Linked DNA regions of Elephas maximus indicus. The main gene of each other region encodes a partner of the protein of the gene in region 2 in a complex. Links are inferred from orthologs where the notes say so. Each region holds a gene or a part of one and is shown on either strand. Other genes may lie near its edges.

Evidence for each region. The genes of interacting proteins can lie anywhere in the genome.
Region 1: the proteins of GNAO1 (region 2) and HRH3 are in contact, whole or in part, in a cryo-EM structure (PDB 8YN7), measured with the Homo sapiens proteins. The link is inferred for Elephas maximus indicus from reciprocal best matches to the Homo sapiens genes GNAO1 and HRH3. Residues at the interface, in NP_066268.1 of Homo sapiens: Ile28, Ala31, Lys32, Asp33, Val34, Lys193, Asn194, Leu195, Asn312, Pro315, Asn316, Lys317, Glu318, Ile319, Tyr320, Phe336, Thr340, Asp341, Ile343, Ile344, Ala345, Asn347, Leu348, Arg349, Gly350, Cys351, Gly352, Leu353, Tyr354; in NP_009163.2 of Homo sapiens: Asn69, Asp131, Arg132, Ser135, Val136, Ala139, Val140, Tyr142, Arg143, Ala144, Gly147, Ile221, Ile225, Arg228, Arg232, Thr345, Phe348, Arg349, Arg352, Val356, Leu360, Cys415, His416, His417.
Region 3: the proteins of GNAO1 (region 2) and C5AR1 are in contact, whole or in part, in a cryo-EM structure (PDB 8JZP), measured with the Homo sapiens proteins. The link is inferred for Elephas maximus indicus from reciprocal best matches to the Homo sapiens genes GNAO1 and C5AR1. Residues at the interface, in NP_066268.1 of Homo sapiens: Ala31, Lys32, Lys193, Asn194, Leu195, Glu318, Tyr320, Phe336, Thr340, Asp341, Ile343, Ile344, Ala345, Asn347, Leu348, Arg349, Gly350, Cys351, Gly352, Leu353, Tyr354; in NP_001727.2 of Homo sapiens: Asn71, Phe75, Arg134, Leu137, Val138, Pro141, Ile142, Gln145, Ile225, Thr229, Arg233, Ala234, Thr235, Arg236, Ser237, Lys239, Thr240, Val243, Val244, Ala303, Gln305, Phe307.

What each region holds. Positions count from the first base shown.
Region 1 is NC_064843.1:5,727,288-5,736,643, forward strand, and holds the start of HRH3 (histamine H3 receptor), read left to right. Parts: upstream 1-5,581; coding exon 5,582-5,849; intron 5,850-6,757; coding exon 6,758-6,924; intron 6,925-8,634; coding exon 8,635-9,356. UniProt on the Homo sapiens protein: The H3 subclass of histamine receptors could mediate the histamine signals in CNS and peripheral nervous system. Signals through the inhibition of adenylate cyclase and displays high constitutive activity (spontaneous activity in the absence of agonist).
Region 2 is NC_064839.1:23,234,767-23,244,310, reverse strand, and holds the start of GNAO1 (guanine nucleotide-binding protein G(o) subunit alpha), read right to left. Parts: upstream 3,714-9,544; 5' UTR 2,964-3,713; coding exon 2,846-2,963; intron 2,626-2,845; coding exon 2,583-2,625; intron 1-2,582. UniProt on the Homo sapiens protein: Guanine nucleotide-binding proteins (G proteins) function as transducers downstream of G protein-coupled receptors (GPCRs) in numerous signaling cascades.
Region 3 is NC_064829.1:101,634,512-101,644,155, forward strand, and holds the start of C5AR1 (C5a anaphylatoxin chemotactic receptor 1), read right to left. Parts: upstream 3,776-9,644; 5' UTR 3,759-3,775; coding exon 3,555-3,758; intron 1-3,554.

The DNA.
Region 1 (9,356 bases), on a different chromosome or scaffold from region 2:
GATGAGAGGCCATGGGCCAGACACTTTGCCCACAGTACTTAGGAAAGGTAGTGTACATGGAGGCCCATGCTAGGGCTCAAGGACCCCCAGGGCTCAGTCCTCTGTGAGGTACTCCAGGAGACAAAGCACCCCCTCTGCCAAGCTCAGCTGAGCTACACACTCAGTAGGTGCTCAATAAACACTCCTGACTGTCTGCTGGAGTGGTGCCAGACAGCTAGGCAAACAGCTGGGGTGGGACAGAGCCTGGAGCCCACAGGCCCTGCCTAGAATCCAAGCCCTGCCACTTAGTGACAGGGTCTCAGACAGCTGTGGAAGTGTGCCAAGCCGGTGTCCTCAGGGCTGTGCGAGGTCCAAAGGAGACCAGGTGTTCAACAGCCTTTGTAAAGGGGTGAGGGGCAAGGGGGCATTAACTCCACAGTGTGCGTCTGCTGTTCTGTGGCTGTCTTCTGGGGGCAGCCCCTGGATCTTCCTTCAGGACACCCACCCTCAGGTGGCCCACCTCTAGATGAGACCTGGGACATCATGTCAGCACTTCAGGACCATTGGTCAGGCCTAGGTTGCCCCATCCTCCATCCAGGGCTGCTCTCTGCTGGGATGTCACCTGGAGGGACCTCTCTGAGGGGCCAAGTGTCTGAGCTCAGACCCAGAGAGGAGGGCTGAGCTGAGCAGAGGGCCGGGAGAGTGTGGGGGCAGGGTCGTGGGGAGGGAAGGTCAAGCACTCATACACACAGACACACACACATATAGACACACACAGACACACCCACATATGGACACGCATATACACATATACACAGGCACACACACAGACCCGCATGCACACACATATGGACAAGCACACACACGTAGACATGCACACAGACATGCACAGACACACACACAGACCGGCACACACAGACCCACATGCACACACATATGGACAAGCACACACACATAGACATGCACACACACACACAACTCGCCCCCTCCTTGGGAGTCCCTCAGACCCGGTCCCCACCCTGCAGGACCCTGGGGACATCTTCATTAACTGGATTCGGTGTCCCCAGCACTTAGCGCTGTTGGGCTCCTTATTTTTCTGACAGGCTCAGCTCCTCCAGGAACTTTGCTGGTCCCGAGGGTTTGGGGAGTAAACAGAGAGGCACCTGCAGCAGGGATTGGCAGTGGAAGGACTCTCCTGTCTCCTCCCCCAGGAAGCAATTCTTTGAGCCCCAACCCTGCCCAGAGCACCCCCACGGTCCCCTGAGGGGAGCCTGCTGGGAGGAAGAGGTGCCCAGCATCCTGCATGTAGGCTCAGGGGCTGGGACCATGTATACACACAGATGTACATGCATACACATGCACACACCCACGCACGCACACACTGTCCAGGACCCAGTGTCAGTGGCATGATGGGGGAGGCCTGGACAGCCCTGGGAGGAGAGTGGGGCCTGTGGGTTTGTGCCCAGGAAAGGGCAGGGAACAGAAGGAGACTCTGCCAGGTTTCAGAGGCAAGAGTTGGGCCTTTGGGGGCCGCTGAGGTCAGGGTGGTGTTGTTGGCTTCCACTTCACCCCTGGATGGAGCAAGGCAGCATGGCCAGTGATGGCCACACAGCAGTCAAACTCCCCAGAGCCACCCCAAGGTACCCAGCCCAGTGGGCCACCCCTCCTCCACCCCAGACAGACCCCCCCACCCTTGGGGGCACAGAGGCATGGCTGACCCTCTGCTCTCCAGGGCCCTGCTGAGGCCTGTCCACTGAGTGCCCCCCAGTACTGTGCTGATTCCATGCCCCTCCCACCTCCACCTGCTCCAGCAGCAGGCCCCCAACTTGCCTACTTTCTCCAGCCCCAGGGCCCTGGGTCGCTCTGGCCTTCCTCTGGTCAGGCCTGGTAGCCCCCAGGAGTTTAATATCAACTGTCAGGTCTGGATTCAGGATGAACTCTGGTACCTGGGGGCAGGTCCCCGGTAGCACCCACTGTGGCATTGTCTGGTCACAGCCCCCACAGTCCTGTGTGTGGTGGAGGCTCACCTGGGGCTAGGCCCAGCCCCCACACAGCTGGGTGGGGCTCAGAGCCATCCCTGCCCCTCCCAGTCTGTTGGGCTGAGGGCTCTGGAGAAGGCGCAGCAAACAGAGGACCACTTTCTCGCTTCCCTTCCTTGTTCCTCCATGATTTCCTTTATCACTTATGCAGCAGGACCTGCTCAGGTGCAATTCATTTCAGGCACTCAGCAAATATTTATCAAGCCCTCAGAGTGATGCATGGCTCCTCATGCTGACCTTCTGTGGTGGATATGTTGGGAAGCCCATTTCATACCCCAGAAAACTGAGTCTCACGAGCAGGCAGGAAAGAAGCCTGCAGCCGTGGGGACAGCTGTGACCTGGAAGAGACTCCCTGCCTGAGAACAAAATGGGCATGGTGCAAAGGCCAGTGGGGAGAAGCAGCTCTCCCAGAGCTCCTGGATGCGGCTATACCTGAAACTCATTACCCTGCACTTTCCAGCCCTGGGCAATAGTAAGCAGTCATTTTCCCCAGGCCCTTTTGAGCTGGTGTCTGCTACTTGCAGCCAAATCAGAGCAGCGACACCTTCAGGATGGAGGTGCTTGAGGTCTCCTGCTCAGCAGCAACTGGGGACCCTGGAGAAGATCTCACTCCGCCTTATCTTCTGCCTGTCACATGTCCCCAGACCCAATTCTGCCCTGACTCCAAAGGTAGGGAGGGAAAGGCAGGCTCTGCTCTGCTTCCTGTTCCAAACCGCAGCCTCGGGAGCCATCCTGATCACACTGGGCCCTGAGCTCACCAGAATGCACCCAGAGCTGCTTCAGAATGTCACGGGTGGGGGGGGGGGCAGGGACAAGGAACAAAGAAAGAAAACTTTGTACTCCCATATTCAAATGATTCCTCCGGGGGTGGGGGGGAGGGGAGAGAAAGCAAACAGCAGCTTCCATGGAGGTAACATCGAGGCTGGACTCGGAAGCCCCACAGGTGCCAGGAAGCTGCCTTGGTGTGACAAGCAGGCCAAGTGTGCTGCCGCTGGCTCTTGAGGCCCCTCATTACTCCTCATAAGTGGCTATGTCCCTGCACAGCAGGACATGCAGCTGGCTCAAGGGAGTAAAGTGTTCCCATCAAGGCAAGCTGCTGGCGGCAGGGCCCACAGCCCAAGACAAGGAAGAATGCCTGGGGCCGCGTCCTGCTGGCCTGATCCTGGCAACACCCTGCTTGTTTTTCCAGCCCAAGCTCCCCTACCCAACCCCAATGCCCTTCTGACCTCTCCCCTAGAACATCCCACTGGCAATTCAATCTCGACACAGGGCACATCGTTTTTGGCACAATGTCCCCAAATCCTGCTCCTCTACAGATTTCCCACCTAGAATTACAATAGTCACAGGAGAGCAGCCAGGGCCGCCTGCCTCTCCTCCCTCTTACTCCTCCCCTCAGCCCTGGGTGGTCAGTACTATGGAACTCCCATTCCAGGATGGAGACACAAAGTGGGGGAGGGGGCTCTCAGCCAGTGAGCAAGAGAGCTGGAGCCCCCTTTTTACCCCCATCCAATCCTGCCTTTTGAGGCCTCAGGTGGGTCCCGCAAAGCACTACCAAGGTCACTGGGGAAGAGCAGGGGTGGGCCCAGAGGGCCCACTCAGCAGGGAGCTGCTGGCTGAGGATGGGGTGGCTGGAGCATGGACCCAGCAGCTAAGGAGGCAGGATGATGGGGGGCAGGGGGCCCAATCACCCTTGCTGCCCAGCTCCAGGAACTTTCCATCTCGACTTGTCCCACCGCTAGGCAAATTGGGGTGGTGCAGGGAAAGTGGGGAGGCTGTTAGCGCAACAAGGTTGCTGGTGGCAGGGTATGAGTGGACCCAGGCACCCCAAGAGGGCTCTTGGGCAGAAGGAGGCACTGGGGTCCCCAACCCTCCTCCCAGCACAGGCTCAGAGAGCCAGGAAATCATGGGCTGGCTGGGCTGAGGGTCTGGGGGTTCCTTCCTGGGTGTGTGCAGGTAGGAGCCCCTGCCCAACGAGGGAGTGGAGGGAGCCCAGCCCCCCACTCCCAAAGTTTCTGAAGCATGTGTTGGGGCTGGCAGAGGGGTGGGCCCCCCATACTCAGGGGCTGCTGAAAGTATGGGGGTGCTTTGTGTGCCTGTGCCTAGGGTCCAATCTGTAGCCCCCTGACTTCCCACCTAGGGGTGGCAGCCTTGTGGACCCCCCCTCTTACCACTCCTTCCCCCAGGCACTGGGGTGAGCCTGTCCTGCCAAGGCTGCTGCCAGTGTGTGCTACTGGCGGCAGAGGGAGCCGCAGCTTCCCTCCCGAGCTCTGTTGCCTAGCTGTCTGCTGTCTGATGTGTGTCTAACTGCCACTGTGGTCCCTGACGCTGGGTGACTGTTTCCTTGGTCTGTGGGTTTCTGTGTGTCTGAGTGTGGGTGTGTCTGTCTGTCTCACCGTGAGTGTCTCAGGCTGCATCTGTCCTTGACCCTATCTGAGCTGTGTCGGGGGTGGGGGGCGCTTCCTCCCCACCTCCCTTCCCGCAGGGGCTAACACGGTCGACGCGGCGCAGCCGCCGCCGCAGGCAGCGCGGGAGCCCAGTGGCCTCTGTCCGCTGCAGCAAGGACCGCCTTTCCTCTTGCCCAGCGGGGGTCCCGGCCCGGCTTGCAGTCCCTTGGCTCTCTTCTCCACTGGGGGCGCTGAGCCCGGGGTGGGCGCGCTCCCCTCCCAGCTGGGCCGCTTGGGCTCCCCATCTTCCCTTATGTAACTGAACATCTGTCTGCGCCTGACAGGTCACCCTGGACCCTACGCCGGGCCCTGCCCACAGCGAGACTGAGGCCAGAGTCCGACACATGTTGGGGGTGGACCTGGCCGGGGACCCACTCTCGGAGACCCCCTCCCTACCTCTCCTTCTTGAGACGTTCCACCCCCGGAGACCCGCTTGCCCGAGGCGTGAGACAGGGAGGGCACCCACAGGGCACGTTTCCCTGGGCGCGGGAGCAAGGCGTTTCTGCCCCCACCCCCACCGTGGGTCCCCACAAGTGCCGGGCTCCCCACGAGGGCTGAGCCGGGTCACCGGGGCCAAGGGCACGGGGTAGGCCGAACGACCCGAGACCGGCTCCCGCGCGCTGGCCGGGTGGGCAGGCGAGCTCCCGGCCCGGCCCTGCCCACCCAGGGCCCCGCGAGCCGCGGCCCTGCGCCCCGCGTCGGGCTCCAGCCAGCCGATGGCACGCGGCGCTGTCCGTGGTGCTGCCGGCTCCGGGCGGGGCGGGGGCGGGGCGACGGCGACAGCCAATGGCGGCGGCGCTGCGCCGGGTGGGGGGCGCCGGCTCCGCGCTGGGCGCATTCGCTGGCGCTGCGCTCGGGGCGCACGGACGCTCCCGCGCCGCTCCGGCTCTGCTTAGCTTGGCGCCCGCTGCTGGCCCGGGCTACTGGCCCGGGCTCTTCGGCGCAGCTCGCTCGCTCGGTCCCGGCGCCTGCGGACCATGCGCCGGGCGACCCTCGGGGAAGCAGACCGGGCCGAGAGCCCGGGGGGACGAGGCGCCCGGCCCGGAACCCCTCCCGGCCGTCCGGCCCGCCGCCCGTGCCTTACCTCTCGGCCCGAAGTCGCGTGAGCCGGCGGGAGCCATGGAGCGCGCGCCGCCCGACGGGTCGCTCAACGAGTCGGGGGCGCTGGCGGGTGAGGCGGCGGCGGCGGCGGCGGCGGCGGCGGCGGGCGGGGCTCGCAGCTTCTCCGCCGCCTGGACCGCGGTTCTGGCCGCGCTCATGGCGCTGCTCATTGTAGCCACGGTGCTGGGCAACGCGCTGGTCATGCTTGCCTTCGTGGCCGACTCGAGCCTCCGCACCCAGAACAACTTCTTCCTGCTCAACCTGGCCATCTCCGACTTTCTCGTGGGTAAAGCCCCCGCGCCACATGCCAGCTTGCGGGACCTGGGCCCGAGCCGCCTCGGGCGCCTCCCGCTCGGCACGCGACCCCGCCGGCAGCCAGGCTGGGGAAGGGTGCTGGGGGTGTCCCCAGGGAAGGGCCGGCGCGACGGGCACTCAGCGAGGCGCAGGGCGCAGCGGCGGCGGATGCAGCGCTGGCTCGGCGCCGTGGCCAAACAAAGGCTGCAGGGACTCAGGACGCGCGGAGCTCAGGGGGGAGGGTCTTGGGAGGTTTGGGGGAGGGCATACGGAAGAGCGGTTCTCCGAGCCGTGTTGGGGGAGGGGGGCCGCGAGAAAGGCGGGGGTGCACAGAGGAGCGGCGCACTCTCACGTGCCCACACTCTGCTGCCGGCTGGGGGGCGGGGCGCCGAGGGGGCCGAGCGCCAGACACCTGTTGTGGCTGCGAGGTGTCTTGCCGACGCTAGGAGCGCGGCTTTCCTGAGGGAGAGGCTGCCAATGTGGCAGCCAAGTGCCCTATAAGCCAGTGAACAGCTTTCTCAGTGTCTGAGCTGATGCTCAGGGCCGTCCAAGGCCAGGCTAGGGGCTGGGTCCCAGCGGGCAGGAGGAGGAGGAGGAAATTCTCTTTCCTTTGGGGGCTGGGGAGGGCTGGACAGAAGCCCAGTCCCAACTCCAGGCTCTGAGTCTCCATCTAGACAAACACCCCATGACCTTCCCTCCTGCCCCCATATCCAGGGGTCACCAGTGGGGAGGGGGCAAGAGTTGAATGAAGACCAGACACAGAGCAGAGGGTGTGCCCTAGGAGACCAGGTGTGGGGGAGGGTAAGGTGAGTGCTGTGGTCTTAGACGCCCAGGTCCCTCCACTGGGCCGGCACTGTCCACGGCCCCTGTCCAGCGTGGCCTCCCTGTGCCTCCCCCCAGGTGCCTTCTGCATCCCCCTGTATGTGCCCTATGTGCTGACCGGCCGCTGGACCTTTGGCCGGGGCCTCTGCAAGCTGTGGCTGGTGGTGGACTACCTGCTGTGTACCTCGTCTGTCTTCAACATTGTGCTCATCAGCTACGACCGCTTCCTCTCAGTCACCAGAGCGGTAAGTCCCGGGACAGGGAGGGGCCCAGCAGGTGATGTCCTGAGTCCTTCAGTGGTGCTCATCACACCTGATGACTGGCTGCTCAGTAGCCATGTGCTGCCAGAGGGCTGGTCCTGGGGTTCTGGAGCCAGAATCGGATGCCCTGATGGCAGGGTCCCTTCAACCACCATCAGGGCAGGTGCACAGTCCTGAAGCTGAAGGAGGATCTGAGGTCAGAAGCCCTTGGCAAGACCTGTGTTTGCACCTCCCGCCCTGCCACGCACATACACAGACACACATGCACATACTCACAAATCACAAACACACGCACATGTGTGCACACAGGTGCACGAAACACACCTGCACATGTGCATGCATACGCACACATCCACATGCGTGCGTGCAGTGTACATGCACACACAATGGACACATATGCACAATACATGCATGCATATACATGCATACGTGCAAACACATCCACAGTGCACAAATGCACCTGCACACATGTGCACAAACACACGGACACACACATGCACACTTGCACACAGATGTTGCACAATATTCATACACAGAGAACATGCACACATGCCCCTGCACACATACGTGCATACATATACATACATACATGCACACACCACTCTGGCAGACAGGCAGTGGCCCTGGCTCTGTGGTCCTCCCTTTCTTTGAGTGGCAGCCATGGTAACCAGGAGGCAGGGCCAAGAGGCTGCCTGGGTTCTCTTTGCCTGTGCATTCTGGGCACAGGGCCGGCTGGGCTGGAGCAGAAATCACCCCTCGACCTTGCACTCCCAGGGGTCTCCCCTCTGCCGGGGGAGGTATCTCCCCGTCTAGCCTCAAGAAGCTATGGGACAGAGCACACACAGAGGGCACAGGGTGGACCAGACAGATCTCGCTGCAGCCCCAGCTCCACCCTCCTTAGCCGGCCCACCTGGGTTCCCCACTCCCTTCCCCAGCCATCGGGAAAGCCAGGATAATAATAGCTTTGTTGGGCAGGTTAAATGAGATAATATCCATAAAGTGCTTCCCTCTGCTGAGCCCCTCCAGGGGGAACTGCTGATGCTGCCTGGCCTGGCTGAGACAGAGCAGAGACATCTGCCATGTCCCACCCTCCCTCCTTTTGAGCTGTTTGCTTTCTGTACTTGAGAGGAGCAGTGCCCCATGCCCTGCCTGGATCCTGGGGAGGACTTGCTGGGCACTGCCCCGTCCTCCTGCTCTCCCTTCAGCTCTCCTGGTGTGGCTCCAGGATGCTTTGTGCATGTCAGGAATGGGACTTTGCCCAGGAACGGGCTGGCACTGGCTTCTGCCTGCCCCCCAGTTCCCTGGGGAGCTACATGCAAAGCGTCTGCACAGGGCTGGGCTGGGCTGGGCCTCCCCTGGCAGTGGCTCAGGCCTCTCTCTGCAAGCCCCACTCATGTGGGAACAAGATGCTGAGTGGCGCCTCCTGTGCAGCTGAGGCAGGGTGGGGGCTGGCAACTTGGGGAGATGCCAGAACCCCAGGGAGCTCACAGCCAGGGTGGAGGGGTCAACAGGTAGCCAAGCACAGTTAGGATTCAAGTTGATCTGGGGGAGGTTCTGGGGAAAGCCCGGGAGGCTTCCTGGCAGAGGCACTATGAGCTGAGCCCCGAAGGGGGCAGAGAGAGGGGAAGGCCAGTGCACAGATGCCAGAGACTGGCCTGGGCACCATCCCTGTCCCTGCTGACTTTCGCGCCGCAGGTGTCATATCGGGCCCAGCAGGGTGACACACGGCGGGCGGTGCAGAAGATGGCGCTGGTGTGGGTGCTGGCCTTCCTGCTGTATGGGCCGGCCATCCTGAGCTGGGAGTACCTGTCCGGCGGCAGCTCCATCCCCGAGGGCCACTGCTACGCCGAGTTCTTCTACAACTGGTACTTCCTCATCACGGCCTCCACGCTGGAGTTCTTCACACCCTTCCTCAGTGTCACCTTCTTCAACCTCAGTATCTACCTGAACATCCAGAGGCGCACGCGTGTCCGGCTGGATGGGGTCCGAGAGGCGTCCGGCCCGGAGCCCCCACCCGAGGCCCAGCCCTCCCCGCCCCCGCCCCGGCCCAGCTGTTGGGGCTGCTGGCACAAGGGGCCCGGGGAGGCCCTGCCCCTGCACCGGTATGGGGTCAGTGAGGCGGCCCCTGGCCCCGATGTGGGGGAGGAGGCCCTTGGGGGTGGCAGTGGGGGAGGAGGCGCCACAGCCTCCCCCACCTCCAGCTCAGGCAGCTCCTCAAGGGGTGCAGAGCGACCTCGCTCGTTCAAGCGTGGCCCCAAGCCCTCGGCGTCCTCCGCGTCGCTGGAAAAGCGCATGAAGATGGTGTCCCAGAGCATCACCCAGCGTTTCCGCCTGTCAAGGGACAAGAAGGTGGCCAAGTCCCTGGCTGTCATCGTGAGCATCTTTGGACTCTGCTGGGCCCCATACACGCTCCTGAT
Region 2 (9,544 bases):
TTAAAGACAGCAAGTGTAATGAGTTAAAAAAGTATTCAATGTTTCACTTCCAAAATCTCAGTTTTTCTCCAAAAAGTTGTCAGCGCATGTTTCTGTGGGAGTGAGGGAAGGCAGAATCGCAGGGCAAGAGAAGAAATGCCTTGATTTCTGACTTAATCATCTCAAACCTCAAAGGCTTCATTTTTCCCTCCTTAGTGTACCCAAATATGTATCAATACGAGACACGTAGGACTTTCCCGGGAAAGTTTACATACAACCTTAATTTAAGATTTCTTGCCCCAGTACATAATTAGGGGTTTTCATTTTAAAATGGCACACCTATCTCCTGGGAGAGCTCAGCTCTCTTTGAATGAAAAGCCGAGGTAGGTAACATTATCCTTCGGGGGACTCAGTATATATTTTTAAACTTCTTATTAAATCAACCTAATTTACGGAGCATGTTCAGGGAAAGCTGGTAACGTGTCGCTTTGGCGGATGCAAAGTTAATTTGCGGACTCTGGCATGCCCCCCGCCCTTCCCCTCCCTGCCGCGGAGCGTTTCCGAATGCTTTCGGCCCCCTCCGAAGCGACTCGGCTCTCTCCGTCAGGGCCCCGACTCGGCTCCGAACACTGCCGAGTCCCTCCGAGCCCCGCGCCGAGCCGAGCCGAGCGCAGTCGAGCCGAGCTCCATCGACTTTTCCGGCCTCGGCTGGGCGCTGTCCACCACTCGCAACGCCTGAAACCTCACCCAGCGCCGGTGGCTCGGCTTCTATCGGGCTCTGTCTGAGGCTGCCACTGCAGATTTACAGACCTCTGAAGTTTTGACGCGTTCCCCTCGGGAGATGGGAATGGCGCTGCTTGCATTTACCGACCTGCAAGGGCTCCAGGCAGATGCAACATGCACCTTGTTGCAAAGAGCAATTCCCCAGGCCCCGCCTCCTCATCCATTTGGGTTGCACAAGCTTTAGAGAAGCCCCAGGCCAAATTGCCCGTGGGGTGCGGCGAGCCGAGGGGGCCTCTGCGAAGAAAGCCCGAGGGAGCTCTCGAGCAAAAATAAGAACATGTCAAGCAGATGGGGGAGATTGTCTCCGAGTCGCTACTACCTACCATCATGGCGCCGCCTAGAACCCGCTTGTCATGCCTGTTACACATGCAAGATTTTTTGCATCTTGGTTCTTCTTAAATCGCAAGCATGCTTCGTTTCCCACCCACCTTCCCACGAAAGGGGTTTTTATTTTCCATTGTTTTCCTGCGGGATGCAATTACTTCTGCTATTCTGTCAAGTTGAAATATAATCATTTTTGTTTACTGCACAGCAACCCCTAATTAGGAGTCGTGTGTGCACGAAGGTGTCACAGCAAAGAGACGTGGAATCCTCGCTAAACGGTCTTAACGAACTCCTTCGTCCTGAACTGACAGGCCAAGGGAAACTGCCAGGCCAGGAGGCCCCGAGGGCTTGCACCCCTTCCCCACCAGCCACCCCCTCCCCAAGCAGAGCTGCCCAAGAGCTCACCAGGAACTGCCAAGTGGAGTGGGCAAGAAGCCAGCCTGAGAGTGGGAAGGAGGGGCGAGGCTCCTTATTGAGAAAGTGTAGAAGAGAAGCAATATCCCATTTTGTTTTAATTTTCAACCATCACTCAAATCCACCTCCAGTTAATTAGGAGGGGAAACTGATATCTAAGGCAAAAGGGGGCGGCGGCAAGTGGGGCCTGAAATCCGCATTGTGGGTAGGTTACACGGAACACGGCCTATGCAGAGTGTAAATAAACACAATGATAAAGGCCACAGAGTGATCGAAAACTGCCGGCGTCAGGAGAGCAAACGCTGGGAGGGTGGGGGCGGAGAGGGACCGGGGGCAGCAAGGAGGCGGGCATTAAGCCTCACACCAGCGTCCCCTTTCCACCTCTGCCTTGGATACAGCTGTGCCAGTCACATCCGCTTGGAAACTCACTCCCTTCCCCCAACACACGACCCCTCCCCTAATTCTCGTCCTCTGCCCCCTTCCCCACCCTCAACCTTGGCGGTGGAGAGGAAGAGGCAGAAAGTACAGCCTCCAATTCAGCACCAAATCCAAGAACAGCAGACACTTGATCCTGCACCCCAGTCTAGGGCTGGGTCCCCTCCATGTTTTAGCCAAGTTCAAAATCAGTGCCCCAGGAGAAGAGCAGGGGAAAGTGGGATTGTGGACGAGAGGGGGATGGGGGGAGGAGGAAGGGGAATAGAGACAGAATGAAACAGAGATAGAGACTGAAATGGAGCAGAGAGACACACGAAACACCCCACGAGCAGGAGTAATATCATAATCATGCCAATAGTGTGATGTTCTGATCAATATGGCGGACACTGTCATTCATATAACTACAGGCGCTTCCCCCCCTCAAAAAAACAAAAACAAACAAAAAACCCACCCACCCTGGAGTTGGAGTGGAGGACCCCAGAACCAACGTAGGGTGTCGGGGAGGGGAGCCAAATCGAGGTGTGTGTGTGTGTATACATGAATTAAAAACCAGGCCTGGAGAGCAATGTGGAATGAGCAAGGTAATGAAAATGATTTTAAAAATTATTCTTAATAAAAGTACAAATCCCAATGCCACAGTGACTTACTTCATTTGCTTCACAATCGTGCTTTTTCCTGATTCTCCAGCCCCTGTTGGGACACAGACAGGAGGGGGGAAAACTGGTGAGTGTCAGCTTAAGGAAACAGGGGGAGTAGAGATAAGGCATGCTGGGGGTCGGCGACCCTGGGCACATGGTGGTGCCCATTTGGGGACCAGGTCTCCCCGGGAGCGGGTGGGGTGGGGGAGGTGGCTGAGGGAAGTGCGGAGTGGCCGGGGTCGGGGAATGGGGGTGGCAGACGTAGCCCTTACCCAGCAGGAGTAATTTCACGTCTTTGGCGGCGCTGATGCCATCCTCTTTGAGGTTTTTCTCAATCGCCTTGCTCCGCTCGAGGGCGGCTCTCTCTTCTGCACTCAGAGTACATCCCATGGTGGCCCCTTCCCTGCCACAGCCCGCACGACTCGGCTGGCACGGCTCCCCGACTCGACGAGCCCCCCACCCCCCCGGAGAGCAGAGCCTGGCTCAAAGGGGGAAAAAAATCCTCCCCTTGGCTGAAAACAAAAATGTCGGGAGACCAGAACTCCCCCAAAAGACCGCCGCTAACAAATTTCAGCAACGGAGACTCGAGGCAGCTGGCAGGGGTCTGGAGGTGTTGAGACGCGGGTGGTCGGGGTCTGGGGTTCCGGAGCCGAGGGAGGAGGCGGCCGCGGGCCAGGGAGGCGCGGGCTGCAGGCACTGAGGCTTGTGCACCACCCAAAATAAATAGAATAATAGTCGAGGCTGGAGCCGCAGCCGGAGCCGGCGGAGGGTGTGGTGGGGGGCAGGGTGGGTCCTTCTGCCGCTGCTGCCGGAGGAGGAGGAGGCGGCGGCGGCGGCGGCGCGGGGTGTGGAGGGAGTGAGTTAGGGGGTGCCGCTAGTGCATGTGCATCGCCGGCCCTCCGCCGTCGGTGCGTCCGCAGCGCCGTCGCCGACCCCCGCGCGCTGGGCAGGGCTGGGCACGGGGCCGGGCCGGGGGCAGGTCTCTAGGGGGCGGCGGCGCTGCCTCCCAGAGCTCTCATTGCTCGGTGGAGCCTACCAGAGAGAGACGGAGAGCGCGAGGGAGTCGCGGGCAGCCGGGAGCTCGCGGGGGAAGGAGAGAGAGAGAGAGAGAGGCAGGGAGGGAGGGGAAAAAATGAAGGGAGAGCGGGCGCGCGCGCCAGAGCCCAGGCAGCGACGGGGGGTGGCTGCGAGCGCAGCGCGCGAGTGCGCCAGCGGCTCTGCGCACCCAGCACCGCGAGCCGCCCGCTGACGTCAGCAGGGCCTCGCGCTGGGCCCTCGGGACTGGGAAGGCTTGCGACGGAGGGCGGCGGGGGGAGGCGCGCGCACCGGGCCCGCGTCAGTTCGTGGCGGCGCGCGCGCGACGCGGCCTCCCCTCCCCCAGCACCTTCGGGTCTGCGGCTCCCCCGGGGCGGGCGCGTGCGCGGCCGGGCAGGGGCGGGGCCTGAGGCCGAGAGCGCGCTCCGGGGAGCCCCGCCCCCGCCCCGCGCGCGGACTGCGCGGACCTCCTTGTCAATGGGAGCGCGGGGCTGGGTCGCCGGCACGGCGGTCAGGTGGGCCCCCCCTAACCCGCCTCTCCCCAGCTAGCGCCCCGCGCGGCCTCTTTTTCTCTCCGGCTCCCTCTCCATCTTGTCTCCAGCCGCTCGCCTTCTTGGTTACTCTTGGGCTGCTGAGGCCGTAGCAGCCAGTTACCTCCGTAAACGGGTGGAGGTAGTGGGTCTGAATCAACCTGCGTTCCGGATGATTCGCGTCAACGGCCCAGGCCACTGGGCAAATTTGGGTTTTTCGTTTTCTGCGTTACACAAGCATTTATTGAGCACCTAATATGTGAGAGGCAAGGCTGTGAGAAGCACACGGCAGGATGAAAAAAAGCCAGGGCCTGCTCTCCAGGGGCTCCTCCCCGCCTTGCCATCGCTGACCTTGCCTCAGGGTTTCCCGCCGTCACCAGGGCAGGAGAGTTCCCACACTCGGGAAGCTTTGGAGAGGGACAGATTCTAATGCAAGCGTGAGCTGCTTGCAACTGCTTGCTCCCTGAACATAGTTGAAACGCTTTTGCACATTTCGAATGACTTAGCTTGGTTGAGGTCTGTGCACGAAATCTCTCGTCCTGCCCCGGCCACAAACACAAAATGCATTTTAAATATTTTTGGTGAAAGAAGAAGAGATTTTCTTCTTTTATCTTTCGAGCCATTTTTTCCCATCTTAAATAAAGACCCAGAAACCTGGGTCAGTTAACTCAATGAATCAAATATTAAGGAAACAAGTACAAATTTGCCAAAGATTGGGCCTGTTCTGGGTGGTCTCTGAGACTTTGAAGCAGTTAATTCTTACTGCACAAAATGGTTTTACAATTAGTTCCACCAGACAGCCCCAGGGGCCCTTCTAGAGAAAGGGTCCGAGAGGAAAGATTGTGTGGGAATAAGAACGAGTGGCCAGTGGGAACTGTTTTTTCTAACAGTTGGGCATTTCTGTGGCTCTGAAAGCAAACTCAACAATAGGAAAAAAAACCCCAAAAAACTCCAGTTTTGGAAATGTTAACCAGCAAAAAATACATTTGCAACAGGGAAAGAAGGCAGTTAAGGCCCACCCAGAAGAAAATATTTTTCCCCTGAAATTTCATATTTTGTAATTCCCGGGATGGGTTTGCCCCATTCTACAAATAGCTGTTGTTGTCCAAAGTTGTCTGTAATATAATCTAAAGTATTTAAATTTGAATCACATTTTATGTATTCTGAGAAACTGACAAAGAAACCCTGTAAAGAATTGTCTTAGGAAGTAAATAACTGCTTCCCTCATCTTCCCCTCATTTCCCTCTTGGATGTGTGTTGGGGGGCTGGTGGATAAATCCGGTTTGCTTAAAATCATGATATTACTAAAAATCAGGTTTCCAGATGCAATAGAGAAAGTTCACATACCCAACATTCAATAGAACTTATTTCCTTTAAACGTTGGTAGGACAATTACGCAGATCTATCACATGCAGAGGAAAATAGAAGCAGCCTCACCAGGTACTGTTATCCCTACAAAGATGCATCTGAAGAACCGAAGAGGTAAGAAAATAATTATTTCCTTGCAGATGGTAGGATTACATTTCACGTATTAATGCTTTTCTGTATCGAGTACTTTTCAATTTAAGCTCTTAGGCTCATTACGGTTTGTATGACTGAGTCAAATGATCCTTGGTATTAGACTTAGTATGGTGAAAGCACAAACCGGTGTTTCTCTTTACTCACTCAGTACTTATAAGCACCTACTTACCATGTATAGGGTAATGTTCTAGGTATTATAGGTGTTGTATTTCAGGTTTGTCTCTCCTGTTTTCTTTTTCTGGGCCACTTTGCATCTTTATAGCTGAGCTATATAAAAGACTAATAATAATCCGCTTCATCTCCATAGTGCTTTACAGCTTACAGATCACTTTTGCAAAAATGACCTCATGTGATCCTTCCCCAGAAACCTCGGTTAGGCACTGTGGTGTTGGAAACATCACCACTGAGTGGAAGGAACCTAGACCAGAATCCAGATAGATCTGGGTACCCATTTTAGAGCTGAGGAAGCTGAGCCTCGGAGGAGTTGAACTTGTTCAAGGTCACAAAGTCATTAAGTAGTAAGCCAGTGCTCCTTTTATAGGTCTTTGGACTAGTTGAGAGAGAGCATGTTATATAAATATTTCACGTATTCTCCCTAGACTCCCAGAAAGCTCACAACCCCAGAACCCAATCATATTCTGGTTCCCCCGGAGAAAGGGAGAATGAGAACACCTTGTTGCTCTGGTGTTGTCAGTAGTTAGATAATACCACGACAGCGGAATTTGTCGTGATTCCTGCAGCAATGGGGGAAAGTACAATCCTAACATCGGGAGTAGGGGACACTGAGACCAGGGGCGGATTCCATTTGCTTTGATTTTATATGATCCTTAGAATTATATTTCTCTGATTGTTGCTGTTGGCCAGAGAATAACTCTCATTTACCCTCCCCTTAGTCAACCATCCCTCTTGTCTTGCAACACTGTCCAGCATATTTTTGATTTTAAAAGTTGGTGATTAGAATTTTTTATATACTCCCTAAAAGGTGTGTCAACAAAGCCTACATTAAGTTGCTTTTTTTACTATAAGTGGCTCCTAATTCTGGAGAACAGTAATTCATGATGTAAGCAAGGTTCCCCAGCTCTGACGTACAGAATGTAAGCTCTGATTAGATGAACAGAAATTCTCTATTTGTTCCCTTTTAGTTGATTAATTCAATTAAATATGTATTTATTGACAATCTAACAAAAACTTGAAATTTTGAAATCCCTGGAATGGCTTCTCAAAACCATTCACATCCTAGTCAGCTGGGGTGCTTGTTAAAAATTCGGATACCCAAGCCTGGTATCGTTTCTACAAGGCAGACCCTTGTGCAGTCTGCATTGATAGCAGCTCCCCAGATGATTCGTCTGTACAGAAAGCACTGGGTCTTATATAGATTCCATACGTGCCAGTTAATTCTGCTGGGAGCTGAGCTTACTTTCCCCAAGTCCAGATATCTCACATGTTTCTGAGTTCTCCAACTTTTCTTCATGTTACTAGTTTCTTGTATTTCTGTCAGAGAGGAAAAATTATGAAGAATGCTATTCTTTATGAACACTGTCATAAAGAATGGGAAGAAAATGGGCTAAAATGAGTGGTTCATGATCTAAATGAAGCTAAACTGTCAAGTGAACTAGACATTTTAGGAAGAATGGTAGATCACTAGAAATTTTAGGGCTCTCTATTAATGGTTTTTATTATAAAATTGATAGCTCAAAACCCAGCTTAGTGGTGAGTATAATTTAGAAGAATGCCTGGAAAAGGCTAAGAGATGGCATTGTTTTCTGATAAATATTTGGTACTAATGAGGGACGATGCTGATGAATATTTTGTGTGTCCCTAGAAGACAGGCCCCCTGTTTAGCTCATATTCAGCACTCGCTTGACTGATATTATTTTGTACACTTCCTCAGACCTAGTAGACCAGTGGTTCTCAGACATTACTATGCATAAGAATTACCCAAAATGCTTTTTAAAAATGCAGATGCCGAGGTCCCATCCCTAGAATTTCTGAATCAGCAAGTCTGCAGTGGAGCCTGGGAATATTCATTTTTAAAATTATACACTGCCCTCCCAAGTGACACTGATGCACTTTGGGAACCACTACACTGAATTGTAAACTCCTTCGAGGTGAAGGAGTTGTCTTATCCCTTTGTGTATGTTCCCAGAAGTCAGGCATCGCACAATGTCCGGAAGGTCATCAAATTTTAATATTTGTTAATGAAATTTACGTGTCCATAGGCAAGGACTCATTCAAATAATTGATCAAAGTTCTTCCCAGCTCTGAGCCTTTGATTTTTCAAATAGAAATTCGGTGACTCGATGATTCTAGAAAATTATTTTTAAGATTGGATAAGTTAAAAAAGGTAATGGCTTACCTTGAAGTAAGGTTCTGAAAGATGAAATGATATTGATATAAAACAAATAAATGGGAGGTTCATTAGTATTTAGGAGCTTGTGAGAAGAGTATATGCTAAATGTTTTTTATTGTTCCCATCAGATAATTCTTGCTAAATTTTACGTCCCATCTGTTACTTGTAGAGTTCATGAAAAAAAAAAAAATTTCCTTATTTATAGTTGTTAAAAAAAAAATTTTTTTTTAAATAGTTGTTAGGGGTAAAAAAATTCCCAGAGAAGAAATAAGGGACTTGTACAAAGGAGTGGATTAAGACTTGTAGGTAATTGAATTGAGCTCTTAAGTTACTGGAGCCCATTATGTGATCACTGTTGAGAACATCATTTGGTGAGTGCACTTTGATGGTTCAAGAACCCCAAAGAAGGTGTGCTTTGTGATTTTTCTCAATTTGGGATACCAAGAGAATCCTGCAGAGACACATTTGGCTTGAATGGAGCAGAAAGTTGGAGGGGGCTAGGGCTAGTGCTTTCATGTTGATGATAAGATTGACCAATAGCTGGAACTGAAGTTGGAAGCTTGGCTTAATATGAAGGCATCTTAACAGCCGTGGTTCCCTGTTGGAATTTTCTTGGAAAATCTTTCATCAGAAACCAAGATTCTTATTCGTTAGATGGGAATAATAGTATTTTCAACCTACCTGGGTTGGAGTTGACAGACAAGATTAGCAGGTCCATGTTTGTAAAGTACTTAATAGTTATTAAGTCCTTCAGAAGATCGGAGATTTCCTGACATAAAGATTTCTTACGTTATTTATCATATTTTCTGTCTTCATAGAGCTTTTCACACATGCAGCTCAAACATCTTTTAGACATTATCTCATTAGACTCCTGTAAGCTTCAAGGTCCAAAGTCTTCTTACCACATTGCTCTTTACAGATAGAGCTGTTTTTGTTTGTTCCTGTCAGCTGTTGTATTTGTGAAAACAAGAAGTAGGTGAATTTTATCTGAATCCAGTTAAAACCAGTTTGAACTGGCTGTAAAAAGTGTGGGGTGCCTGGGGTAGGGGAGGTTATCGATTAGTTCAAACTTATTAGAAGTCTAGGGTTCTCTTCATTCTGACCAGACTAGACTGGTTTAATTTTATGACTTGTCTGCACCCTCTAAAATACGTGTGGTTTGGGGTATTCCCAAAGTCTGCCAAGTATCAAGAACATGGCATTCCAATGGGACAACATGGTTCTTCACTTGAGCTGACATTTAGGCACGTCATCAGTTCCCCAAAGGCCTGGAAAACCCTGACCCCTGTGGCAGAAAAATATATTTGTATGAAACTCCTATGTCTGTGATGGAGCACATCTATAAAATTGAAGAAGGACAATTCAGAGAGAGACACATTCTCAACAAGACACATATCCCATAAGGCTTTTAGCTAGAATCATTAAGTGCTTGAAGTAGGAAAGAACAGAACTGATTTTCCTCTCTAGCTGTCCCTGCAGTCCTCTGCCTTTCCACCTGGCCACTGTAGCCTTTGGAGAGGACTAAGAGTAGAAGA
Region 3 (9,644 bases), on a different chromosome or scaffold from region 2:
CACTGTCACAGCCCCTTCCCTGTATGAGCTTCAGTTTCTCTGCCTTTCTAGTGGGGAAAGTCCTGCCAACTGTTCTCCCATTAAAGTGGAAGTAACAGACCTACTTAGGAACGCTGTCAGAGCCAGGAGACATATGAAAGGCAAGGTCTGCTTTTTTCTTAAACATCTGCCTCCCCTGTTCCCACGTGGACAGAATGTCTTTTAACAATCTACGCACAGAACCGCATAAAATCCTTATAGGTTGCTACCTCAGAAAAATGAATTACAAGGGTGGGGGCGGCCCCTTCAACTCATATTTATTTTCTTTAACTCACACAACCTTTGTAATTAAAAATCCCTGAATATTAAAAAGGAGTCCCTGGGACAACACACAATATAGGGGAAGTCAGCACAACTTGACCATGGCAAAGTCATAGAAGCTTCCTAGATACATCCAAACACCTTGAGGGACTGAGTTGCTGGGGCTGAGGGCTGGGGACCATGGTCTTAGGGGACATCTGGGTCAACTGACATAACATAGCTCATAAAGAAAATGTTCTATGTTCTGCTTTGGTGAGTAGGGTCTGAGGTCTTAAAAGCTTGTGAGTGGCCATCTAAGATGCATTGGTTCCATCCCATCCAGAGCAAAGGGGAATGAAGAAAACCAGAGACACAAGGAAAATATTACTCCAAAGAACTAATAGACTACATGAACCACAGCCTCCCAGCTTCAGCCCAGGACAACTAGATGGTACCTGGCTACCACCATCGACCGCTCTGACAGGGATCATAATAGAGGGTCCCAGACAGAGCGGGAGAAAAATGTAGGAAAAAATTCAAATTCACAAAAAAAACAGCAGACTTACTGGTCTGACAGAGACTGGAGGAACCCCTGAGACTATGACCCCCGAACACCTCGCTAACTCAGAACTGAAGCCACTCCCAGAATCCACCTTTCAGCCAAAGATTAGACAGCCCTATGAAAAAAACAGGAGGGAGCCCTGGTGGCACAGTGGTTAAGAGCTTTGCTGCTAACCAAAAGGTCTGCGGTTCAAATCCACCAGCTGCTCCTTGGAAACCCAGTGGGGCAGTTCTACTTTTTTGTACAGGGTCACTATGAGTCAGAATCAACTTGATGGCAACAGGTTTGGTTTTGGGGTGGGGGGGATGAAACAAACAATAACACATGTGAGGAATGTGCTTCTTAGTTCAATCAAGTATACATAAGACCAACTAGGTAACACCTGCCCAAAAGCAAAGACGAGAAGGTAGGAAGGGGCAGGAAAACTGGTTGAATGGACACGGGGAAACTGGGGTGTAAAGGGAAAGGGGGAAAGTGCTGACACATTGCAACCAGTGTCATAAAACAATTTGCTTATAAACTTTTGAATGAGAAACTAATTTGCACTGTAAACTTTCACCTAAAGCACAATAAAATTTAAGAAGAAATAAAGACTAAGAAAAAAACTGAGGCAGGATGACAGGCTTATTGAAATGTTCAGAAAGCATCTCTGACTTCTTCAAGAAAGCTATTACCATGAAAAAAACAAAAACAAAAAAAGGAGCCCCTGGGTGGTGCAAATTGGCTGCTAGATGAAAGGTTGGCGGTTCGTGTCCACCTCAGAAGAAAGACCTGGTGACCTGCTTCTGAAAAATCAGCCATTGAAAACCCTATGGAGCATGGATCTACTCTGACACACATGGGGTTGCCATGAATAAGAATTAACTTGACAGTAACTGGTCTGAACTGGAAGCAGTAAAAAACGTAAACACATTTAAAATATGCGGTGAAAAAGACAAGCTTCCAGGTATTTTGAGGATGCAATGAATGAACTGCCTCTCAGGTTGGCAAAAGTAAAAAAAAATGCGATAAAACTGTGGGTGAGGGCATAGGGAAACAGGCACTCTCAGGCACTATAGGTGGGAAATATAAATTGATACAATGTTGGTAATCTGTTAAAATAAAAATTGCACATGTCCTGGATTCAGTGTTTGCAATTCTGGAAGCTCAAAGGTAAGTCCAAAGATATAAGTACAGGAATACTCATTGCCGTTTTAGTTTTAAAGCTCATATATTAGAAACAACCTAATTCTCCATTGATAGGATCAACCACCAACTGGTACCCATGTGTTATGGATTGAATTTTGTCCCCCCAAAATGTGTGCCATATTCGCTAGGCCATGATTCCCAGTATTGTGTGGTTATGCGCCATCTTGTGATCTGTTGTGATTTTCCTGTGTGTTGTAAATCCTACCTCTATGATGTTAATGAGGCAGGATTAGAGGCAGTTATGTTAATAAGGCAAGACTCAATCAACAGGATTAGGTTGTATGTTGTGTGAATCTCTTTTGAGATATAAAAGAGAATATAACAGAGAGGAGGGGGACCTCCTACCACCAAGAATGAAGAACCAGAAGGGGAGCACATCCTTTGGACCTATATCCCTGTGCTGAGAGGCTCCTAGACTAGGAAGATCGATGACAAGGACCTTTCCCCAGAGCCCGACAGAGAAAGCCTTCCTCTGGAGCTGAAGCCCTGAGTTCAGACTTCTAGCCTCCCAGACTGTGATAGAAGAAATTTCTCTTTGTTAAAGCCATCTAGTTGTGGTATTTCTATTATAGCAGCACTAGATAACTAAGACACTGTGTTTACATCTGAAGGAAACGACAAGGGGTCTGAGGCTCAGGGGTGGTCAGGGAGAGTGAATTTTCACTGAATCCCCTTCGGTGTTTTGGAATATTTTACAGAAAGGACGAAAAGAAGAAGCAGCAGCAGCTAGTAAGTTGCCCTATTCTGAAAGTCCTGTTTGCCCAAGTTGGATGTTAAAGGTGGGATGAGGAGAGTGAAGCAACATCAAACCCCTCCCATGTCCATCCAACTTGTTTTCCGTTTCCCCTTTTGGCCAGATGAAGCAATACCTGAGAGAGACTCCAAGTGCTAACCCACAGCCCTGCCCAGCTTGGTCCCCAGACCTCAGGATGCAGATGTGTAAGGGGGGCCCTCGCTGCACCGGGGGACAGCATCCCTCTGAGACTCACAGGATCCAAGGAACGTATCAGTTCTGCCACCAACCACTGTGAAGGACCCAGGCCATTTCTGCCCTGGCCTGGGCTTCAGTTTCCCCATCTCCACTATTGAGAATATATGAAATTCCACGGGAGTAACATCTTCATGCCTCCAAGCTGGCTGTCTCCAGCCTCCCAACATTCGCCCCTTCTGTTCCAGCTGCCTGGAACTCCTTTCTGAAATTCTTCTCTTGTGGAATTCTTAGTCATTTTTACAAGACCCAACTCAAGGGTTTGCTTCCCTGGGAAATGTTCTTGGACCTCCAGCCCTGTGGGGTTGCTGTGGCTCCCATTGTCCCTTGACAGCCTTAATCCTTAAACTTCATCCCAGCCCTGGAGTCCGAGACTCTGAGATGAGGAAGAAGGGAGAAGAGGAGTGATTGAGGAGGGGGATAGGGAGGAAAGAAAAGGAGAAACACGAGAATGAAAATGCTGGAGAGAAAAAAGGAGCCGAGAAATGAGGGAACAAAGGTAGAGAGTTCCTATGTCCAAGCTCCTTCTGAACTTACCATGTTCTGGTCTTCTGGGCTCTTCGCTGAGGGAAGGTTCCTCTTGCCCACAAGGGCTGTGGTTTTTAAACCCCCAAGGGAGGGTGCGGAGAGCCGGGGAGGAAATGACCATCTTTCCTTTCTGGGGTTCTGATTGGTCTGTGCACTGGACACTCTGCTGGGCCCCCTTTCTGGGGCACACACACACCCAGGGACTCCGAACATCTCCCCCCAGTCAGAGGAGGGAGGACAGGGCGTGGAATACTGAGGAAGTCCCTGGTATGAGAGAGGAGAAAGCCAGCTGGAAGAGCCCCCTGGCCCCCACCCCAATCTGGGTTCAGCCCCTTTCTGTGCCTTGGCTACCCCATTTTAGAGCTCTCTCTTCCCTTTGCACCACAGCCCAGGGACCCAGCTACCTTAGACTCCCACGGGGGCCTCGGGAAGCAGGGTTTGTGGCCCCTGCCTCCCAGCCAGGTTGCTCTGAAGTGCAGAGAAGCCAAGCAGGTCTGAGGAGGTGGCCCAGTGCTTGGGCACATTTTGCTGTTAAATCTTCTTTCCTAGGGTTTTGAAAAGGAACCCTAATTGCACAATGGCTAAGCTCTTGGCTACTAACCAAAAGGCTCCACAGGAGAAAGGCCTGGCAATCTGCTCCCATAAAGGTTTCAGCCTAGGAAACCCTATGGGCCAGTCCTATTCTGTCACATGGAATGGCCCTGTGTCAGAAACAACTCGACAGCACCCAACAACACAACAGAGTTTTGAAAGGAGTCCCCAGGTGGTGCAAGCAGCTAATTCGCTCAGCTGTTGACCAAAAAGTTGGCAATCTGAGCCTACCTAAAGGCACCTCGTAAGAAAGGCCTGGCAACATGCTCCCAAAAAGTAACAGCCTTAAAAACCCTATGGCGCACACAGTTCTACTCTGCACACAGAGGTCAACGTACGTCGGCAGCAACTAGTTAGGGTTCTAAAGTTGGTAGGAGAAGCCACCCCCTGAGCCACAATTGTCTGACTTGGAAATGGGACCTGTGTCTTGTCTGTTTCAGCCTCTTTCTGGTTCTCTGGGAGATGTGCTGGAGCCAGGATAGAATAAGGATCCTGTATTAGTTTCCTACAGATGCCATAGCAAAATACCACAAACCTGGTGGCTTAAAACAATGCAGATTTATTCTCTCACGGTTCTGAAAGCCAGAAGACCAAAATCCAGGTGTCAGCAGGGCTGTGCTCCCTCTGAAGGCTGTCAGGGAGAATCCACCTTTACCTCCTCCAGCTTCACGTAGCACCAGGCATTCCTTGATTTGTGTGTCTCTGCCTCTGCCTTCACGTAAAACCAAAACCAAACCCACTGCTGTCGAGTCGATTCTGACTCATAGTGTCCCTACAGGATGGAGTAGAACTGCCCCATAGAGTTTCCAGCCCTGTAATCTTTACAGAAGCAGACTGCCACATCTTTCTTCTGCAAAGTAGCTGGTGGGTTCAAACTGCCTGTCTTTCGGTTAGCAGTCAAGCACTTAACCACTGCACCACCAAGGCTGGAGCCAAAATCCAGGCGTTGAGTTTCCTCCTGGAGGAGGGCTTCTAGAACTGCCTTCCTTGGCTCATGGCCCCTTCCTCCATCTTCAAAGCCAGTAGCCTAGCATCTTGCTTCCGTCCTCACATTGCGTTCTTCTTCTGTGTCACATTTGCCTCTTATAAGGAGCCTTGTGATTGCGTAGGAGGGCTTTGCTTCCTCTAAAGCCCCTAAGGGAGAACGCTTCCTTGCCTCTTCCACTTTCGGGTGGCTCCAGGCGTTCCTTGACTTCTGGCCCCATCACTCCTATCTCTGCCTCTGTCTTCACAAAAAACCAAAACCAGCCCATTTCTGTCACATCGATTCCAGTTCATAGCGACCCTGTAGGACAGAGTAGAGCTGCCCCATAGGGTTTCCAACCAGAATGACATATCTTTCTCCCCCCAAGCAGCTGGTGGGTTTGAACCGCTGACCTTTCGGTCAACAGCAGAGCACTTTAATCACTGCACCGCCAGGGCGCCTACGCAATCACAAGGATCCTTATAAGAGGGAAGCAGAGGCAGATTTGACACGAAGAAGAACGCAATGTGAGGTCTGAAGCAAGACTCTAGGCTACTGGCTTTGAAGATGGAGGAAGGCGCCATGAGCCGAGGAAGGCAGTTCTAGCAGCTCTCCTCCATGAGGAACACAACACCTTGAATTTGGTCCCAGCCAGAATTAGCCAGCACAGTGGTTAAGCGCTCAGCTGCTAACAGAATGACTTGCAGTTCAAACCCACCAGCCGCTTCACAGGAGAAAGATGTGGTGGTCTGCTTCCATAAGGATTTACAGCTTGAGAGACCCTGTGGGGCAGTTCTATTCTATTCTATACAGTCGCTATGAGTCGGAATCAACTCCACAGCAGTGGGTTTTTGGTTTTTTGTGATTGCATTTGGGGATCACCTAGATAATCCAGGGTCATCTCACCATCCCAAGATCCTTTACTCCATCACATCCGCAAAGACCCATTTGCCACGTGAGGTAATATATTTGTAGGTTCTGGGGACTCGGACTGGACGTCACGGAGGCCATTATTCAGCCAATCACAATGAATGACGATGCTGACTGAAGATTGCAAACCAGGTGCATTTTACACACGCTGTTTTGCAATCCTATGATCTATCATCCACCTCCTTCCTCCACAGTAAATATTTTTCTATGACAGGCAGTGGTGGTTCGGTGGTAGAATTCTCATCTTCAATGGGGGAGACCTAGGTTCAATTCCCAGCCAATGCGCCTCATGAGCCAACACACGCCTGCCAGTGGAGGCTTGCATGTTGCTGTGATGTTGAACCAGTTTCGAAAGAGCTTCCAGACTAAGACAGACTAGGAAGAAAGACCTGGCGATCTACTTCCAAAAGTCAGCCAGTGAAACCCTACGAATCACAACAGTCCAATCTGCAACCCATCAGGGGTATGGCACAGGGCGGGGCAGCATCTTGTCCCACTGCGCACGGGGTCGCCGTGAATCAGGGGCAGCTAACAACAACAACCAAGTATTTCTCTAGGGCGACTTCGATTTTTAAAAATTGAAAAGAATGGTGGTGAGATAACATGGGTAGAGATGTCGAGAACGTTGACGCAATGTGATGAATGTAACCAACGTTATTGAATTGTACCTGTGGAAATTGCCAAATGGGTATATGTCCCGCTGTGTATATTTTCACCAAAATTTAAAAAGAAAAAAATAGTTTTCTTTTCATTACAGAGGTAATCCATGCTCATTGCAAACATTCCAACAATCCGGAAATAACTACTCCCCCCCAAAAAATTAAGCTTTGAAAGTCCCCTATCTGCCACCCTGTTGAAACTCTTCCTAGCAGTTTGGAATGTATCGCCCAGACTTCTACAAATGTGGTATTTGTGTTTGGGGATGGGCACATGGGTGTATGCTATTCAGCAAGTTTTGGTTCCATTGAACGAAGCCGTGTGTACAGTCCGCTGTTGTGTGCCATCGAGTCGATTCCAACTCATAGCAACCCTATAGGACAGAGTACAATTGCCCCATAGGTTTTCCTAGACCATAATCTTTATTGGGGCAGATTGCCTGGGCTTTTCTTCCAAAGAGCAGCTGGTGGGTTCGAACCACCAACCTTTTGCTTTGCAGCTGAGTGCTTAACCATTGCACTACCAGGGCACCTAATGTACAATCTGCTGACTCAGAAAGGATTTTGAAGTGGATTTACAGAGATTGAGGGTGCACCCTAGGAATATGGTGTTGTGTTGAACCTGACCTCAAGGAGGCGCTTGAGGGGGAAGTGGGGAGGAGACGCAGGAGGCCAGGTGACACCCACTTTACTTTTATGATTTTGGATCCAAGTTATATATCCCCTTAAATCATGAGTTAAGATTTTCTATGCTCTGGGCCCCTGGTGAAGCTCTGGACCTCTTCTCAGAATGCTTTTTTTTGGATAATTTTTTTCTTTTAATGTAATTTCAAACTTAAAAAGAAGTTACGAGAATAGCAAAGGCAATTTCTGTATGCCCTCCACCCAGACTGACTCTTGGTTAGTAATTGTTCTATGTGCTTTAGCATGTTTGCGCTATTTATGTATGTGGGGTACCTATCTGTATATCCGTATCTATGGTGGCAAAGGAAACCCTGGTGGCCTAGTGGTTAAGAGCTATGGTTATTAACCAAAAGGTTGGCAGTTCGAATCCACCAGCCACTCCTTAGAAACCCTGTGGGCAGTTCTACCCTGTAGGGTCGCTATGAGTCAGAATCGACTCCACAGCAGTGGGTTTTTTGGTTTGTTGCCATCCAGTAGATTCCGACTCATAGCGACCCCTTGTGTGTCAGAGTAGAACTGCTTCATAGGGTTTTCTTGGCTGCAATCCTAACTGAAACAGATTGCCAGGCCTTTCTGGAGGATGGCATGTTGCTATGATGCTTAACAGGTTTCAGCGGAGCTTCCAGACTAAGACTAGGAAGAAAGATCTGACAATCTACTTCCAAAAATCAGCCAATGAAAACCCTATGGATCACAATGGTCCTGTTGTGCATACGATCCCCACGAGTTGCTGACTTGACTGCAGCTAACAACTACAAATATCTATTATCTATCTATACATTTTTTTCCTGAATCATTTACGAGTAAGTTGCATCCATCATGGGCATTTACCACTATATTCTTCAGTGTGTATCTCTTAAGAACATGGATATTCTCTTTCATAACCATAGCACAATTATCGAAATAAGGAAATGTAATAGCGATTTACACTACTATTATGTAATCTGCAGTCCTTATTCAAATCCCATACGTTGTTCCAATTGTATCCTTTATCGCTGTTCTTTTTTCAGAATGTTTTAGTAAATGCATTCAGAAACTCCTCGTTCCCTTTGAACAATATAATCGTTCCACTGTTAGTTTGAAACCTGCTTTATGGAACCACTTCCCTATTGGTGGAATTTTGGGTGGTTTCCACTATTTCTGCTCATATTGCACTGCGTGTTTTCACATGAGTGTGCCCTTGTACCTCTGCCCTGTGTCCACACACAAGGATTTATTGCAAGAAACTCTCTAGAAATGGGATTGCAGGGCAGAGTGTGACTACACCATACTGTGTTTGTAACTTTTATGCTCTCCTTCAAGATCAAGATCCGCGCTGTCCAATATGGCAGCCACTAGCCACATGTGGCTACCAAACCTGTAAAGGTGGCAAGTCTGAATTAAGATGTGTTGTGAGTGTAACATACACACCAGATTTCAAAGATTTAGTACCAAAAAAAACCAAAGAATGTAAAAGAACTCAATAATAATTTGTGTATAGGCTGTTGCTGTTGTCATCGAGCGGGTTCCAACTCACAATGACCCCGTGTACAACATAACTAAATACTGCCTGGACCTGTGCCATCCTCACAATCGTTGTTATGTTTGAGCCCATTGTTACAGCCACTGTGACAATCCATCTCATTGACGGTCTTCTTTTTCACTGACCTTCTACTAAACATGATGTCCTTCTCCAGGGACTGGTCCCTCCTGATAACATATCCAAAATAAGCAAGATGAAGTCTTACCATCCTCACTTCTAATGAGCATTCTGGCTGTACTTCTTCCAAGATAGATTTGTTGGTGCTTCTGGCAGTCCATGGTATATTCAATATTCTTTGCCAACACCATAATTCAAAGCCATCAATTCTTCTTCGATCTTCCTTATTCATTGTCCAGCTTTCACACGTATATGAGGTGATTGAAAATACCATGGCTTGAGTCAGGAGCATCTTAGTCCCTAAGGTGACATCTTTGCTTTTTAACACTTTAAAGAGATCTCTTGCAGCTGATTTGCCCAGTGCAATGGATTGTTTGATTTCTTGACTACTGTCCATGGGTGTAGATTGTGGATCCAAGTAAAATGAAATCTTTGACAATTTTAGTATTTTCTCCATTTATCATGATGTTGCTTATTGGTTACATGCTGAAACAATAATATTTTGTATAGATTAGGTTGAGTGAAACATATGACTGTATTATTGTTATTATTATATTATCTAATAATGTATGTTTAAAAAAAAAAACAAACCGGTTGCCATGGAGTCAGCTCCCACTCATGGTGACCCCAAGTGT